Xenopus tropicalis: one gene and its partners. The protein of the gene in region 4 purifies or fractionates together with the protein of the main gene of each other region. This does not show direct contact. Links are inferred from orthologs where the notes say so. Each region holds a gene or a part of one and is shown on either strand. Other genes may lie near its edges.

Evidence for each region.
Region 1: the proteins of rnf146 (region 4) and hltf purify together in Homo sapiens (affinity purification with mass spectrometry; 4 studies listed by BioGRID and IntAct, with this or other methods). This does not show direct contact. The link is inferred for Xenopus tropicalis from reciprocal best matches to the Homo sapiens genes RNF146 and HLTF.
Region 2: the proteins of rnf146 (region 4) and lig3 purify together in Homo sapiens (co-immunoprecipitation; 3 studies listed by BioGRID and IntAct, counting the BioPlex papers as one, with this or other methods). This does not show direct contact. The link is inferred for Xenopus tropicalis from reciprocal best matches to the Homo sapiens genes RNF146 and LIG3.
Region 3: the proteins of rnf146 (region 4) and xrcc1 purify together in Homo sapiens (co-immunoprecipitation; 3 studies listed by BioGRID and IntAct, with this or other methods). This does not show direct contact. The link is inferred for Xenopus tropicalis from reciprocal best matches to the Homo sapiens genes RNF146 and XRCC1.

What each region holds. Positions count from the first base shown.
Region 1 is NC_030681.2:122,173,758-122,177,270, forward strand, and holds part of hltf (helicase-like transcription factor), read right to left. Parts: intron 3,330-3,513; coding exon 3,151-3,329; intron 1-3,150. UniProt on the Homo sapiens protein: Has both helicase and E3 ubiquitin ligase activities. Possesses intrinsic ATP-dependent nucleosome-remodeling activity; This activity may be required for transcriptional activation or repression of specific target promoters.
Region 2 is NC_030686.2:27,249,224-27,252,736, forward strand, and holds part of lig3 (DNA ligase 3), read right to left. Parts: coding exon 3,434-3,513; intron 3,335-3,433; coding exon 3,203-3,334; intron 3,003-3,202; coding exon 2,923-3,002; intron 2,841-2,922; coding exon 2,753-2,840; intron 2,610-2,752; coding exon 2,532-2,609; intron 2,451-2,531; coding exon 2,327-2,450; intron 2,196-2,326; coding exon 2,053-2,195; intron 903-2,052; coding exon 828-902; intron 240-827; coding exon 93-239; intron 1-92. UniProt on the Homo sapiens protein: Isoform 3 functions as a heterodimer with DNA-repair protein XRCC1 in the nucleus and can correct defective DNA strand-break repair and sister chromatid exchange following treatment with ionizing radiation and alkylating agents.
Region 3 is NC_030683.2:118,935,109-118,938,621, reverse strand, and holds part of xrcc1 (DNA repair protein XRCC1), read right to left. Parts: intron 3,198-3,513; coding exon 3,090-3,197; intron 2,613-3,089; coding exon 2,454-2,612; intron 2,166-2,453; coding exon 2,091-2,165; intron 1,614-2,090; coding exon 1,496-1,613; intron 829-1,495; coding exon 716-828; intron 257-715; coding exon 118-256; intron 1-117. UniProt on the Homo sapiens protein: Scaffold protein involved in DNA single-strand break repair by mediating the assembly of DNA break repair protein complexes. Negatively regulates ADP-ribosyltransferase activity of PARP1 during base-excision repair in order to prevent excessive PARP1 activity.
Region 4 is NC_030681.2:67,900,125-67,904,211, reverse strand, and holds the start of rnf146 (E3 ubiquitin-protein ligase rnf146), read right to left. Parts: upstream 2,809-4,087; 5' UTR 2,733-2,808; intron 1,062-2,732; 5' UTR 1,061-1,061; coding exon 110-1,060; 3' UTR 1-109. UniProt on the Homo sapiens protein: E3 ubiquitin-protein ligase that specifically binds poly-ADP-ribosylated (PARsylated) proteins and mediates their ubiquitination and subsequent degradation. May regulate many important biological processes, such as cell survival and DNA damage response.

The DNA of each region.
Region 1 (3,513 bases), about 54 Mb from region 4:
TATTTGACCCCTCACTGATTTTGTAAGTTTGTCCAATGACAAAGAAATGAAAAGTCTCAGAACAGTATCATTTCAATGGTAGGTTTATTTTAACAGTGGCAGATAGCACATCAAAAGGAAAATCGAAAAAATAACTTTAAATAAAAGATAGCAACTGATTTGCATTTCATTGAGTGAAATAAGTTTTTGAACCCCTACCAACCATTAAGAGTTCTGGCTCCCACAGAGTGGTTAGACACTTCTACTCAATTAGTCAACCTCATTAAGGTCACCTGTCTTAACTAGTCACCTGTATAAAAGACACCTGTCCACAGAATCAATCAATCAAGCAGACTCCAAACTCTCCAACATGGGAAAGACCAAAGAGCTGTCCAAGGATGTCAGAGACAAAATTGTAGACCTGCACAAGGCTGGAATGGGCTACAAAACCATTAGCAAGAAGCTGGGAGAGAAGGTGACAACTGTTGGTGCGATTGTTCGAAAATGGAAGGAGCACAAAATGACCATCAATCGACCTCGCTCTGGGGCTCCACGCAAGATCTCACCTCGTGGGGTGTCAATGATTCTGAGAAAGGTGAAAAAGCATCCTAGAACTACACGGGAGGAGTTAGTTAATGACCTCAAATTAGCAGGGACCACAGTCACCAAGAAAACCATTGGAAACACATTACACCGCAATGGATTAAAATCCTGCAGGGCTCGCAAGGTCCCCCTGCTCAAGAAGGCACATGTGCAGGCCCGTCTGAAGTTTGCCAATGAACACCTGAATGATTCTGTGAGTGACTGGGAGAAGGTGCTGTGGTCTGATGAGACCAAAATAGAGCTCTTTGGCATTAACTCAACTCGCTGTGTTTGGAGGAAGAAAAATGCTGCCTATGACCCCCAAAACACCGTCCCCACCGTCAAGCATGGGGGTGGAACCATTTTGCTTTGGGGGTGTTTTTCTGCTAAGGGCACAGGACAACTTATTCGCATTAACGGGAAAATGGACGGAGCCATGTATCGTGAAATCCTGAACGACAACCTCCTTCCCTCTGCCAGGAAACTGAAAATGGGTCGTGGATGGGTGTTCCAGCACGACAATGACCCAAAACATACAGCAAAGGCAACAAAGGAGTGGCTCAAGAAGAAGCACATTAAGGTCATGGAGTGGCCTAGTCAGTCTCCGGACCTTAATCCAATAGAAAACCTATGGAGGGAGCTCAAGCTCAGAGTTGCACAGAGACAGCCTCGAAACCTTAGGGATTTAGAGATGATCTGCAAAGAGGAGTGGACCAACATTCCTCCTAAAATGTGCGCAAACTTGGTCATCAATTACAAGAAACGTTTGACCTCTGTTTTTTGTTAGAGGGTTCAAAAACTTATTTCACTCAATGAAATGCAAATCAGTTGCTATCTTTTATTTAAAGTTATTTTTTCGATTTTCCTTTAGATGTGCTATCTGCCACTGTTAAAATAAACCTACCATTGAAATGATACTGTTCTGAGACTTTTCATTTCTTTGTCATTGGACAAACTTACAAAATCAGTGAGGGGTCAAATAATTATTTCCTCCACTGTATATGAGCCTCAAAAATGTCTAGTAGTAATGTGGGGTTAAACAAAAACAAAACTCAAATAGCACCCGACGCAAAGCTGCAAAATACTGCCATTGTAGTTCCTGCACCCAACCCCTACCTGCATCTTCTTGCTCCATTCAGTACTTCTGCACCCCAGTCTGAATGGCACGCAACCCACAATGACGCTCCAAATTTCAATCTGATCCTGCCTGACACGTGTCCCAGGTCAGTGTAGTTGAAGGGGGAAACTTTTTATTCATCTCATGAAAACCCTATTGTACTCTGTGTGAAGATCTAGATCAGGGATCCCCAACCAGTGGCTCGTGAGCTACATGTTGCTTACCAACCCCTTCGATGTTGCTCTCAGTGCCCCCAAACCAGGTAGTTATTTTTGAATTCCTGACTTGTTGGCAAGTTTTGGTTGAATAAAAACAAGATTTACTACCAAATAAAGCCCCCTGTAAGCTGATGGTGTGCATAGAGGCTGCCTAATAGCCAATCTTAGCCCTCATTTGGCTCCTCCATAAACTTGTATGATGCTTGTGTTGCTCTACAAGTCTTTTTACATTTGACTGTGGCTCACGAGTAAGAAAGGTTGGGGATCCCTGATCTAGGGCTATGCTTTTTATTCAAACTTAATTAAGGGTTATCTTTCTCCATAGAGAGTTTTTGGTACAGTCATGGGACCATTATCCAGAAACCAGTAATCCAGAAAGTTCTGAATTACGGAAAGGCCATCTCCCATAGACCCCATTATAAGCAATTAAATAAGACATAAATAATGCAGACCAATTTGCTTAACCAACCAAGTTGCTTAAAATAGGCAATTCTATAGCATGCTTAACGGTGAACCACCCCTTTAATGTTAAAATAATTTTATAGTAGACTAGATAAACATGTTAATTTGAGTCCTTTAGACCAATTTGGCTGCTTAACTGCCCATGTATGGGGCCTTCCGACGGGCCTGCATGATTGATATCTGGCAGAAAATCGGTCAATTATTGATCAGACAGGCTTGATTTTCTCATCAGAGTGGGGACTGCACTGGCTCATTGATGCTGGGTCCGACGGCTCCCATACCCATCCTTTGAATTTGATTGTTTGGCCCTAGGGCCAAACGATCAAATAAGCCCAATATCGCCCACCTTAGGTAGGTATATTGGGAGACAATCTGCTCATCAAATAAGCAGATCTTAACACGTAAGGACACCTTTAAGGGCTCTGGCACACGGGGAGACTGGTCCCATACCTGTATTAGCATTTAATTTAAGCCTAATAACCATAAACATAGCACAGATACATATTTTATACCTTTAACTACTTAGCCCACAGATCTAAATACTGAATGCAACAGAGGAGTTTGGAAGACACTGGCCAGCTGATGGAATCTCAAATCTATCAAAAGAAGCCATCAACCAACAGAATCAGACCTGTTATATCCCTCAATATCATAACTGCAGTGTTGTGCAAATGGTTGCTTTTAACCACTTAAAGCTTATAACAAATAAAACAATTGCCATAGAACGAAGAATTGCGGCTCTTAGTTGACTCCCAACACCTAGTTAAACATCCGTGGTCACATATCACTAACCTTTTCATGCTGGATAACCTGACAGATACAAGGTTTGCAGAATACATGAGCACAGTAAGTAATAACTGGCATGTTTAAAGAATCCAAACATATGGCGCATTCCTCATCTGAGCCGGAGCTCAAAACCAGCTTTATCTTCTGAACGAGCTTCTCACGCACATCTCCTGGAGTGGAGTCAGCTGGGGATTTGCAAGGAAACACATGACAATGTGATGCCTTGGGTACAAAGCAAAAGCAATGCAGCAACACATCACAGTTATTCTGTAGGAGTAACTCTGCACTGCAATTCTTATAGAAGAATGCTTAGAATAATCATAAGAATCATCTGGAACCCTATAATGTAACTATTTCAGGTTGCTACAA
Region 2 (3,513 bases), on a different chromosome or scaffold from region 4:
GGCATTGCAATCTTTTGTGCACCAGAATTGTCGTGTCCAGCTGATGGCGTTCAGTGCTTTGGAATAGCAAAAAGGTTGCCACGCATTCGTACCTTTAGCTGTTGGAGTGTAGTGGCTGTTTTCCAGTCCTTATCATCACGGAAACGTGTGCAGCGTGGGAAGCGAATGGATAACCCAGCAGCTGTATGAGCCTCTGCCTTTGAGTACTCTGCACCTGTAATTTCCCAAATGGGAGCTTTCTATGGTGAAAAATCAGGAATGAGTTTAGTATCTTGTCTCATGCACGAATATATTAAAGAATGCTGATTTGCAGGAGAACCTATGAAAAATTACAGCTGCTATACATAGTAGGTATCAATAAGTTTGCTTTCCAGGTTAAAAATAGACATTCATAAGGCTAAAAGATGCATATGAGCTAGTTTGCTGCACACAATTAATTCATGATATAATTAGATAGGACTCTGCAGTGGGCAGACTGGTCAAATATTAGGACACCTACTTGCCATCTCATCTCCACAGAATGTTTAAGCATAGTGAGTGAATACATTTAATGGCTCACCGAGCTACCAAACTGACATTGTCACAATTACCACAAAACCATTTAGGCAGTAGTTCACCTTTAAATTAACTTTCATTGAACAGACACTGAAAAGCTGGAAAGAGGCAGCAGGCAGAAAATCATTCAAAAACAATAAAAAAAATGAAGGCTAATTAAAAAGTTTCAAAAGTACAACACAGTAAAAGATAACTTAAAGGTGAAATTTAAAATTGCAACAGAATATTCAGCTACAAAGCTGTTTAATTATTTTACCCCTTGCAAATACTACCTTGGGATCATGTATAATGAAATCTGGGAAATAGTTCTTGTTGATTTTAAGCCATGATGGAATCTTAGATGGATCCTGTTAACAAAAGAAAGGAAGGCATCACATCATGTACATGGTTTTACATTGTATATACGTTTTCCACATAAGTTATGCTTTTAAAAATATAGATATAAAGATAAATGAAAAATACTAAATACATTTTTCATATTTCCATATGCATAGTGCATCACATTAAAAACATATTAGGGAAAAGAAGAAACTAAAAGAATCCTTTATGGGGCAACAACAACAAAAATGCTGAATTACCATAAGCGCTCAGAATATAGAATCCATAAATGTAGCTATAGTGTCCTCTACAGATCCAGTCATCTTTTACATAGTGAATCTTTTGGATTTTGGTTAAACCAAGCTTAAACTCAAGGCTATCCCTAAGCCAAAGTGAGGCCAAAAGTCCATTTGGTCACAGAAAAAAACATGTCTTTAGAGAATATTACCTGCCTTGTTTAAGCCTTTAATGGCTAATTTAAAAATTTGATGAAGAGGTGAATTTGAAATATTGTATTGTAAATTAAGATCCGTTTTAAAAGATTAATAATTTTTATCCAGAATTCTTTAGCTATGGGACAAAACCACCAGTTATGTATCAAAGAGTCAGTATATGAGCATATACTACAACAGAGAGAGGAAGTTAAGTCTATTTTTTGTTTTCTTTGACGGGTCATATACCATTTTATCAATAGTTTGAATTAGAAGTCATTGGTTGCAATGTTTATCACAGATCTAGTTCTATCCCAGATATTATCAACAGGAAGCAAGGGCTCCAAAACAGGACAGTATAATATATATAATAATAATAATATACTGCATACTGAGAGTATAAGAGAGTAAATGGCAAACTAAAAAAAAAATATATAACTTAGGCCATTCAATAAAATTGGGGGTTGTAGTAGCACCTAGTGTAGATAATGTGCCTTGTATAGAGGCACCATCTAACTGCAGGCAGAAAAAAAGTGTGCTTATTACCCATACACAATGAATAAAGCTTATACCATACAGTCCTGATTTATTTTCAGGGTCATAATGGTGCCATACAACACAGTCATCAATGCCCTTTTATTCCCACCTTTTCATTACAGAGTATAAGGCTTAAGAAGGAAAAAAAAAACCCGAAGCAGGGAAAATTAAATCAGACTCGCAATGCAATCATCCACAAGACAAGACTAACCTTGCTGATTTTGACCATGTTAAGCTCCTTCTGAAGGCGTTGCAGAGTAGCATCATCATAACCACTTGAACATTTTGTCACAGTGCACCACTTCTGACTTTCAGGATCATAGCAACCCATGAGAAAGATGGACATTATACCCCCTATAAAATGTTTAATAATTAAATAAAAACCTTGAATTATTTCTCCTTAAAGTACTGTGCTGAATATAGCCAAAAAGTTATTTATAATAGATAAAATTTACTTTTGAAAAAATAAGGGCAGCTACATTTACCATTTGCTCCCTTTCCATAATAAGCTCCCAAAACTGCCAAGTCAGCGGTGTCTGCCATTGCACCTTCATTCAAGTAATCCTTCTTTACTTTAAGCCAATGACGTTTCCCTGGCTCATAATTACTCTGGTGTGAACAAGAAAAAATTGACTGCGGAATCTCATATAGATGCAATTAGGAAGATGCTCTTTATCTAACTTAAATTACCTTTAAGTCCTTTAATACCAGACCCTCCAATCCCTCACGGATAACACGGGTGATCATGTCAGCCAGATCAGAAGCTTTCTGCAATATAAACAGGTTTTAGTTACAATAACAAAAAATACTAAAGGACGAGCAGATGTGGAATAGGTTGCAGGTACAACCAGGAATGAATTACAGTTTGATCAAGGATTTGAGCAAGGTTTTATGCCTGTGACAGTACTTACTGTGACATGTTTCATCTCAGAGAACAGAATGTGATTAGGGATTTCAACCATGTTATCCCGCATAAACTTTCGGCGCTCACTAAGTGGCCTGCAAAAAGTGGTTATTGGTAAGCAGCTCAAAGAAACATCTTTCATTTTATAAAATACAGTCTTGATCTGAATATGCTCACCGATCCATTAAGCTCACTCCATTGAAGTAAATGCAATCGAAAACAAACAAGCACACATTGGCATCTTTGAAAGCAGCTTTCTGTGAAGGAAATTAAATTAAAATATATTATTCCAGGTAAAATAGGAACACAAAGAAAATGTATCTATATTCCTGCAGCTGCAAAGCCTTAGAAATGCCAGGTTATAATCAGAACCCAGTGCAAAAAATCTGAAGTGTTTATACTCTAGTCTAGATCAACTGGTTCCTTAAAGACATTAGACATTAAAAATCATATATACCTTATGAACACCTAATGTGCCAAATGGAAGTGGCTTGCCAGTATTGGTATCTATAAGAAGAACTTCTGCATCCAGGATCATACTGTTTCCTCCTGGAAATGCTTTAGGTATAAAATCCTTAAAATGAGCAACCTGTAAAAAAAAAAAAAAAGTTGTAACCATGTATCTAAACACAACAAATAAGGTTGCTAAACACAAATGATACAAATAGTACATTATAAAAAAAATGACCTTATGGGGCAGCACTGGCTTCAGACTGCGGCTGAAGTAGCTGAAGTGATCTCCATTCTTATGTACTTGGACTCTTTCAC
Region 3 (3,513 bases), on a different chromosome or scaffold from region 4:
ATACCCAGACGTGGAATTAAATCTCAAGGCTCACAGAAATCACGTGACAGGTACGCTGCTACTGTGTCCCAGCCTCAAGGTGTCATCCAAGTGAAGGAAAAAAAAAATTTTTTTTACCTTTTGGCTTTTTGGGTGCTGGCTGTGATGTGCTCTCTTTGGCGGAAGATGGGGACTTATTGACTTCGTGTTTCTTGACTGCCGAGTGGCTTGAGGGTTCTTTACTGAACTCAAACTTCCGTTTACCAGATGACGGTTCCTAGAGAGAACAGCAACTGCTCAGAACAAACTAGAACTTCACTGGCATTGGTCTTTGGATGTTAAAGGGGACCAATTCTTTGTATTTGTTTAATGAAAACATTGAGACAAATATATTTCCCCTCTTACTTTTGTCCATAAGCTCCTATGCTGCCGTTACCAACTCATCTTTCCAACTTGACCCTCAGTAAAAATACATTATTTCTTGCTGTCTGACCACAACCTTCCTTTTTAAGCTCTAGAAGACTTTCTGTAGTCTCAATCCCCCTATACGTAGCCAGCAAGGGTTATGGGTTAGTGCCCAAAGGGACATGGTGTAACATCTCTGGGACACAGCTGACAATAAAGCTGCCACATTTGGAACATCTGTAGCGCATACATGGGTATGATAGGTATACCCTATGCTGATAGAGGAGACAGAGGCGGTCGGTGTATCCATGCCCACACCCAACTTACTCACCTTTGGGATGTTATTACTTGGTGGGGTTTTAACAGTCTGTTTTTCAGTGCTGGAGCTGGCCTCTCCTGTGCCCTGTAATGTCGCAGACGCATAGCTTTGTGTGGCTGGTGGAGCTGTAAAAGAACACAATAGCTAAGTGGCAGTATAAAGGGAATAGTGTTGGAGGGAGAATTTAAAAACTCTTAGTATGTTATAGAATGGTCAATTCTAAGCAACTTTTCAATTGCCCTTCATTATTTATGTGTTTTGAATAACTTGCCACCTTCTCTATGGAGTTTTGAAAAGGGGGTCACTGATCCGGCAGCCAGAAATCAATTGCTCTGTTAGGCTACAGTATTATTGTTATTGTTACTTTATTTTCTATTCAGTCCCTTTCCTATTCATATATCAGTTTCTCATTCAAACCACGCCCTGGTTGCTAAGGTAACTCTGACCCTAACAACCAAATAACTACTGAAACTCCAGGCTGGAGAGCTCCTGAACTGAAAATAATAAAAAATGAAGACCAATTGCAAAATATCTCAGAATATCACTCTCTACATCATAGTAAAAGTTAACTCAAAAGGTAAACAACCCCTTTATAGCTGTTTTGCCATATGGTTGCAGTACAAGCCATGAAGTAAAGTAACCCTATGACTCAAGAGTTACTGTACCTGCAATGTACCTAATAGCGTAGGTAATGCAATGCACACAGTTTCTGTACAAGTTTCAGGGGCACTCACACATTTCAGAAAATAACTAATAGAGGGAATTACAAGGGATATGTGCAGAATAGCTTACTTTTCGGAGGAGTAACCTGCGGCTTGCTGGTGCGGCTGAAAAACAGACTCCCGGGACGCATAGAAGGAGATGAGTTCTCTTCTTCCTTTACCATAAACTGCCCAAGTTTGGTCACTTTCTGCAGAAGAGCATAGTAATGATTTATAATCCATGGCAGCATAAACACAAGGTGAACTTTCCTAAACCGGCACTGTTCAAAATTAGGTCAGCCTGTCATGTAAGCTGATGAGACAGAGCTGAATGTGCAGGGAACCAGCAGAAAAGAAGATATGGGGGGGGCTACTGGGGCATCTTTGGGGGCACAGATCTTCCCTGCTAAAGGGCTGTGGTTGCCTTGGGCCAACCACAAGTTCTGGGATAAGTGCTGATTTGCAGTCTTAGATATCACTGGAACTACAACCTATGAATGATATAAAGTTTTACATGTTAGTAACCTTTGCTATTAGGTAAGTGATTAAATGAAGACGGGATTAAAAAGGGCATGAGCAAAGAAATATTTATGGTCCCCTATATCACAGATAATGAATTGTTCCTTATGTAGAACCCCTTGTATTTGCTTATGTATCAGTCAAGCAAGCACAGGTAGAATGCATACCGGTGAGGGAGCGGTGGGCGAGCCATCCTCTGGAGGGGAGTTCAGACGTATGAATGAAATACCATAAGCAAGGTTCTAATGAGACAAGAGAACATGAAATGGTTTATAGAAAAACGTGCATCCAGCTATATACTAAAGGCTTGCCAACAAACTCCACAGAAATTACCACACTTCAGCAAAGGAAAAGTGTACTTCTCATGCCTGATCCGCACCCAACCTGAACCCACAACGGTCGCCCAAATTTCAACTCTAACTTACCTGACCTCGACCCACACATCACAACAAATACTAATTGTATCTACATTCTGTTTGTTAATTATATATCCCACAAAGCTCTCCGCTCTGTAAGCAGACACTGCACACCTTAGTGTAGGGTTGGGTGCACACAATCTTCACCCGATCCCATTTCTTTTCAGCTGCTCCTTTCACGAGCTTGTCTGGTCCGAACATTCGCAGCCGATTCAGGTTGCTTTCATTCTTGCTCTCGCTAGGAGACATGAACGATGACATTCCCAGGAGGACCTATGCAGAGACAAGCAAGATGGGAATTGGCACATCAGGTCTGTATTCCTCACAACTGTACTAACTTGCTATCTGCATTTACATTCTGTGAGCTCTGGAGAGTAAAATGCTATAGCAAACTATCCCTAAGCAGGAACACACAGAGTTTTCGTCACTTTCTTCACTGACTCTATATCATTAATCACAAAGCGCTGAGGACACGGTATTGTATTTACCACACTATCCCTAAGTATGAGATTGGCCCTGGGTAGTTGATGGTGTCCAGAGTTCTCCTTAACCAGCAGCACCCCCATCCTCAAGGAGCACGACCAACTTAAATGCCATTTCCGTTTGCTAAATGTTTAGGGAGCTTTACAGACATAGGATGCTCTCGCTATAGCCTGTGCTTTTTCTGCCTCCATATTAATGGTAATCTTTTTTACTTTAATAAACAATCATCCCAACCACTGCATATGGCACTATAGGTACCTGCCATACCTCATATTCCTGCTCGCTGATTGAAGTGGAGTGTCCGACCAGCACTTCCACAAACGCAGAACCTTCATTGCCAATATCAATGCTGTGGACCTGCTCCTCCTTTTCAAACTGCAGAAAATCAAAGGCACCAGAGTAAGCTGAGGTCAGTACCCATGCACGTATAGGCACACACGGCATGAAATTAGAGCAGTAATTATTTTTTATTTCATTTATTGCTGTTATTTATATAGTGCAGCTACATTTCCGCAGCGCTTTTACAGAGATTATTCATCAGTCCCTGCCCCAGATCTTACAATCTAGGGTCCCTATCACATTCACACACACTATGGTCAGTTTAATCAGAAGCCAATTAACGTGCCTGTATGTTTTTAAAGTGTGGGAGGAAACCGACGTACCCAGATGAAACCCATGCAGTGAGAACATA
Region 4 (4,087 bases):
TTGCTCTTCTTTCTCTGGCTGACTGCTTTAGACTTCTGTGACTGTGCACTGTCCATCAGGTCTTTTAGACCTTACACTGGTACTTTGTGCCTATGCAGGTGGGGTACAATCAGGGATTACCAAATGGGAGCCTATTACTTTGTGGCACAAGAAGTGAATTATGTTGTAATGTAGGACTTCCATGGTCATTACTGTCACTTGGCTCTGATTCTTCCAGCAAAGCACTGGGGGCTGGCATTCTAGCGTTAATTAGAGGCTGTCCTTCTTCACCTTCACCTATATTATTCCTGCCTATCACAGGATCGCCAATCTGAAGCTGAGCAAAGGAGTTCTCCAATGAAGAAGTAACATCAGAATGTGAAAGGGCATGACTTGCAGTTGTACTGAGGGATGTGTGCAGCCTTGTTGGTAACACAGGTGTAGGTTGACTTGAAGAAGCTCCAAGTGCTGCCATGTTGTCCGCACCATCTGCTGAGCTCTCTCGCGCTAGATTTACATTTGCTGCATCACATTCAAGCCTTAGCCCAGCAACTCCTTTTTTTGGTATATCTACAATATCTCTCTTGATTTTTCTACGCCGTCCATGCTCATTACGCCTGTATTGAACCATGTTCTCCAAGTCTGCTACATAGAGGAAGCCAGCTATCAACATCTCTGTGCTCTTTTTGCCTTTTGTGAAGGCATCTTCAAGCTCTCTGCTTGTCCGCTCATCATACTGCCACCAACCATTTCTTCCCTCATAATACCATGCATATTCTCCATTTCCCCTACTTGCAGATTTCAGTTCCTCAGGTGACAGTAATGTAGGCTTATCAAGAAAGTCCTCAGGAATCTCTTGTCTGCACAAAGCACAACGCCTTCCAAGCCAAGAAGCCCCCTTCACACACAAGTAGCAGAATATGTGTTTACAAGGTAGACTAACTGGATGCACACAGGTCTGCAGGCATATAGCACATTCAGGAACAGACAATGAAGGAGCACTGTTGGGACAAGGCTCAACCAGTTTCTTATTAGTGGGCAGCATGTTAGCAGAGTGGCTAACTTCACCACAACCAGCCATCCTGTTGGTAAAAAAATTAAAAGGTTTTATGAGGTTGATTAGAGAAACTGAAAACCAGTCTATGATAAACAATTGAATTGTTCCAGTTTAAAAACGGATGAACAGAAGAAAAACTGGCAGCATAGGTGTTATTATTGTTTACAGATCTTTATTTCAGTTCCATTTCTCAGGTGCTATATCCAGATGAGAAATAGAACCTCGATTTTATGTTTTCCTGGAATTGATACCATTTTTTCCATGTTAAACCATTTGCGCCACTTTGACAGTCCCTTGGAAGACATAAAGTTAGAGTTCTATTGTTATTGAACAGGAGAAAAAGTTCAGCAGGGCTTTTCAGAAGCCAGCCAGCCACCCACTGGAAATTTATATACTTAGGATATTTTATGGAATCTCTCTCAGAAACAGCTGCAATACACCCCAAAGTAACTGCTGTGCCCTGAAACTTAAATTCCTTAAACTAGCAGTAGATCATAGTAGATGAATGGGAACTCAAAAAGCATCTTTTCAAGTTAGCCTTTTTGGGGGAGCTTTATTAAAGTATTTTAATTGAATGAAAAAAAAAAATGTGATTTGTGTGTGTGTTTGGTAGAGGTGAGGGGGGTTAAAGGAATACTGTCATGAGAAAACATGTTTTTTTCAAAACGCATCAGTTAACGGGGTTTCTCCAGCAGAATCCTGCATTGAAATCACTTTTTCAAAAAAAGATTTTTTTATATTTAATTTTGAAATTTCACATGGTTCTATCCATATTCTTCATTTCCCAGGGTGCTACAGCAATGTGACCTGTGCTCTGATAAACTTCAGTCACACTTTACTGCTGAGCTGCAAGCTGGAGTGATATCACCCCCCCCCCCAGCAGCCGATCAGCAGAACAATGGGAAGGCAGCAAGATAGCAGCTGCCAGTATATATCAGAATAGCACTCAATAGTAAGAAATCTACGTCCGGCTTGGGACTCCTCCAGTTACATGGGAGTAGGTTATCTGAAAGCAGTTCTAATGTGTAGCACTGGGTCTTTCTGAAAGCTCAGAATCAGGCACAATGCACTAAGATGGCTGCCTATACACCAATATTACAACTAAAAAAAGATACATTTGTTGGTTCAAGAATACAATTTTAAATGGTGAATTGAATTATATTTTATGTAAACAGTGTAATTTGGTAATAAAAAGTACAACATAAAATTCATGACAGTATCCCTTTAACTAGATGCAGATGAGACATGATTATTTGGAACACAATTTAATACAGTATAGAATGTTTCTTCTTGACATGAAGCCCATGTTCAATTTTCCGTATTGCAAAAAGTCAAGGTTTAATACAGTATATACTCTATAAAGTAATAAAAAGAAGAGAGCATTTGAGCTGTATAAAGCAGCTGTGGTTTCGCCCCTCTCTTTAGCACTATATGGGGAAAATGATACGTTCACTTGTTTAATTGAAATATTTAAGAAGCTCAGTGTCTTAAGATCGCTCTAAAGGCTCACCCCTTTTGGAAAGCGCTGTACATACAATAAAACATGCATTTTTTATGAGGCCTTAGGTATTTGTGCCAGACACCCTACAGTGAAGAAATGCAAGCTTCTGAGAAATCACAATACACTCGGCCTAAATTCAATGGGAATGAGAACTTCGAATAAATAATTTAGAAGTAAAAGCGCAACCTGACATACCGCCCAACAGTCCCGCTTCTCGCGGGACGCTCTCGATATTTTTAACACAGCCCGCAGAACCAGATTGCCGTTTAATCGTCCAACAACGCCATTAATATCCAGCTCCTTGGCTCCTGCCGGAAAGCTAATCCCGACGTCAAAATTGTCATCTCGCGAGACTGTGGCGTCACTACCACACGTATATAAGCGCAGTGACGCGGCACGTAGAGGGGTGACAACTTACTTCCTTGTTTCACAATTATAAGGCGCTAGTAATACAAGGAAGCGTGTTTGCAAACGTTTGCTTCACAGCTAGTAGTTTTCGCAGTTATAGAAAGAAAGAGTCATTTCGTGGTGGTAGCCTACTATGCATGCTGCCTATATTTAGGCACAACTAAGTATTTGTTTTTTCTTATTAGAACTTACACTTGTGTCAGTGAACAAACCCTATTTGCTGGGTTGACAAATGATTTTATTCTTTTCACGGCTTCTGTTTTATTTTTTAGGTGGATATTGTGTTGCAAAGTCTTTGTTTTACCTAAAACGGTTTTTTTTGGCTCTGCTTTAATGAACCTGGTAACAAAGAAAAATAATTTCTTATCAAACATGCTGCCATCAGTGCCTCTTCAATTTGACTAGCAATGAAAGGGTCTTTTTTTTTTTTTTTTTTTTAAACTAGGGCCAGGTGAAGGTCCCAATGTTTTGTTTTTTTTTTGTTTAGTTTTTTTTTAAGTAAGGGCAACAATTACAATTTAGGGACAAAACTGGTTATTTAGGAGAAGACATTGGGTGAAATAGAGCAGCAGTAATCTTTACGTTTTAGGCTCATTTGTTCACGGTGGTGTCAGTTTTCCAGGTTTTATTTTTTCGTAAACTAATGCAAGACTTTTCACAAGTTTTTAGGCTTTTTTTTTTTTTTTACATAAGAGGATCCTGTGGCCATTTTTTGAATTGCCAACAGTAATCTTTAGTTTATATTTTTACAATTTAGTGACAACAGTGACATTCAGAAGACTTAAAATATCCTAAAGTAATCTTTTACTCTGGTCCTAACTCCAAAGTGCACAGGTTCTACAGTGGCTTGCAAAAGTATTCGGCCCCCTTGAACATTTCCACATTTTGTCACATTACAGCCACAAACATGAATCAGTTTTATTGGAATTCCACGTGAAAGACCAATACAAAGTGGTGTACACGTGAGAAGTGGAACGAAAATCATACATGATTCCAAACATTTTTTACAAATAAATAAGTGCAAAGTGGGGTGTGCGTAATTATTCAGCCCCCTTTGGTCTGAGTGCAGTCAGTTGCCCATAGACATTGCCTGATGAGTGCTAATGACTAAATAGAGTGCACCTGTGTGTAATCTAATGTCA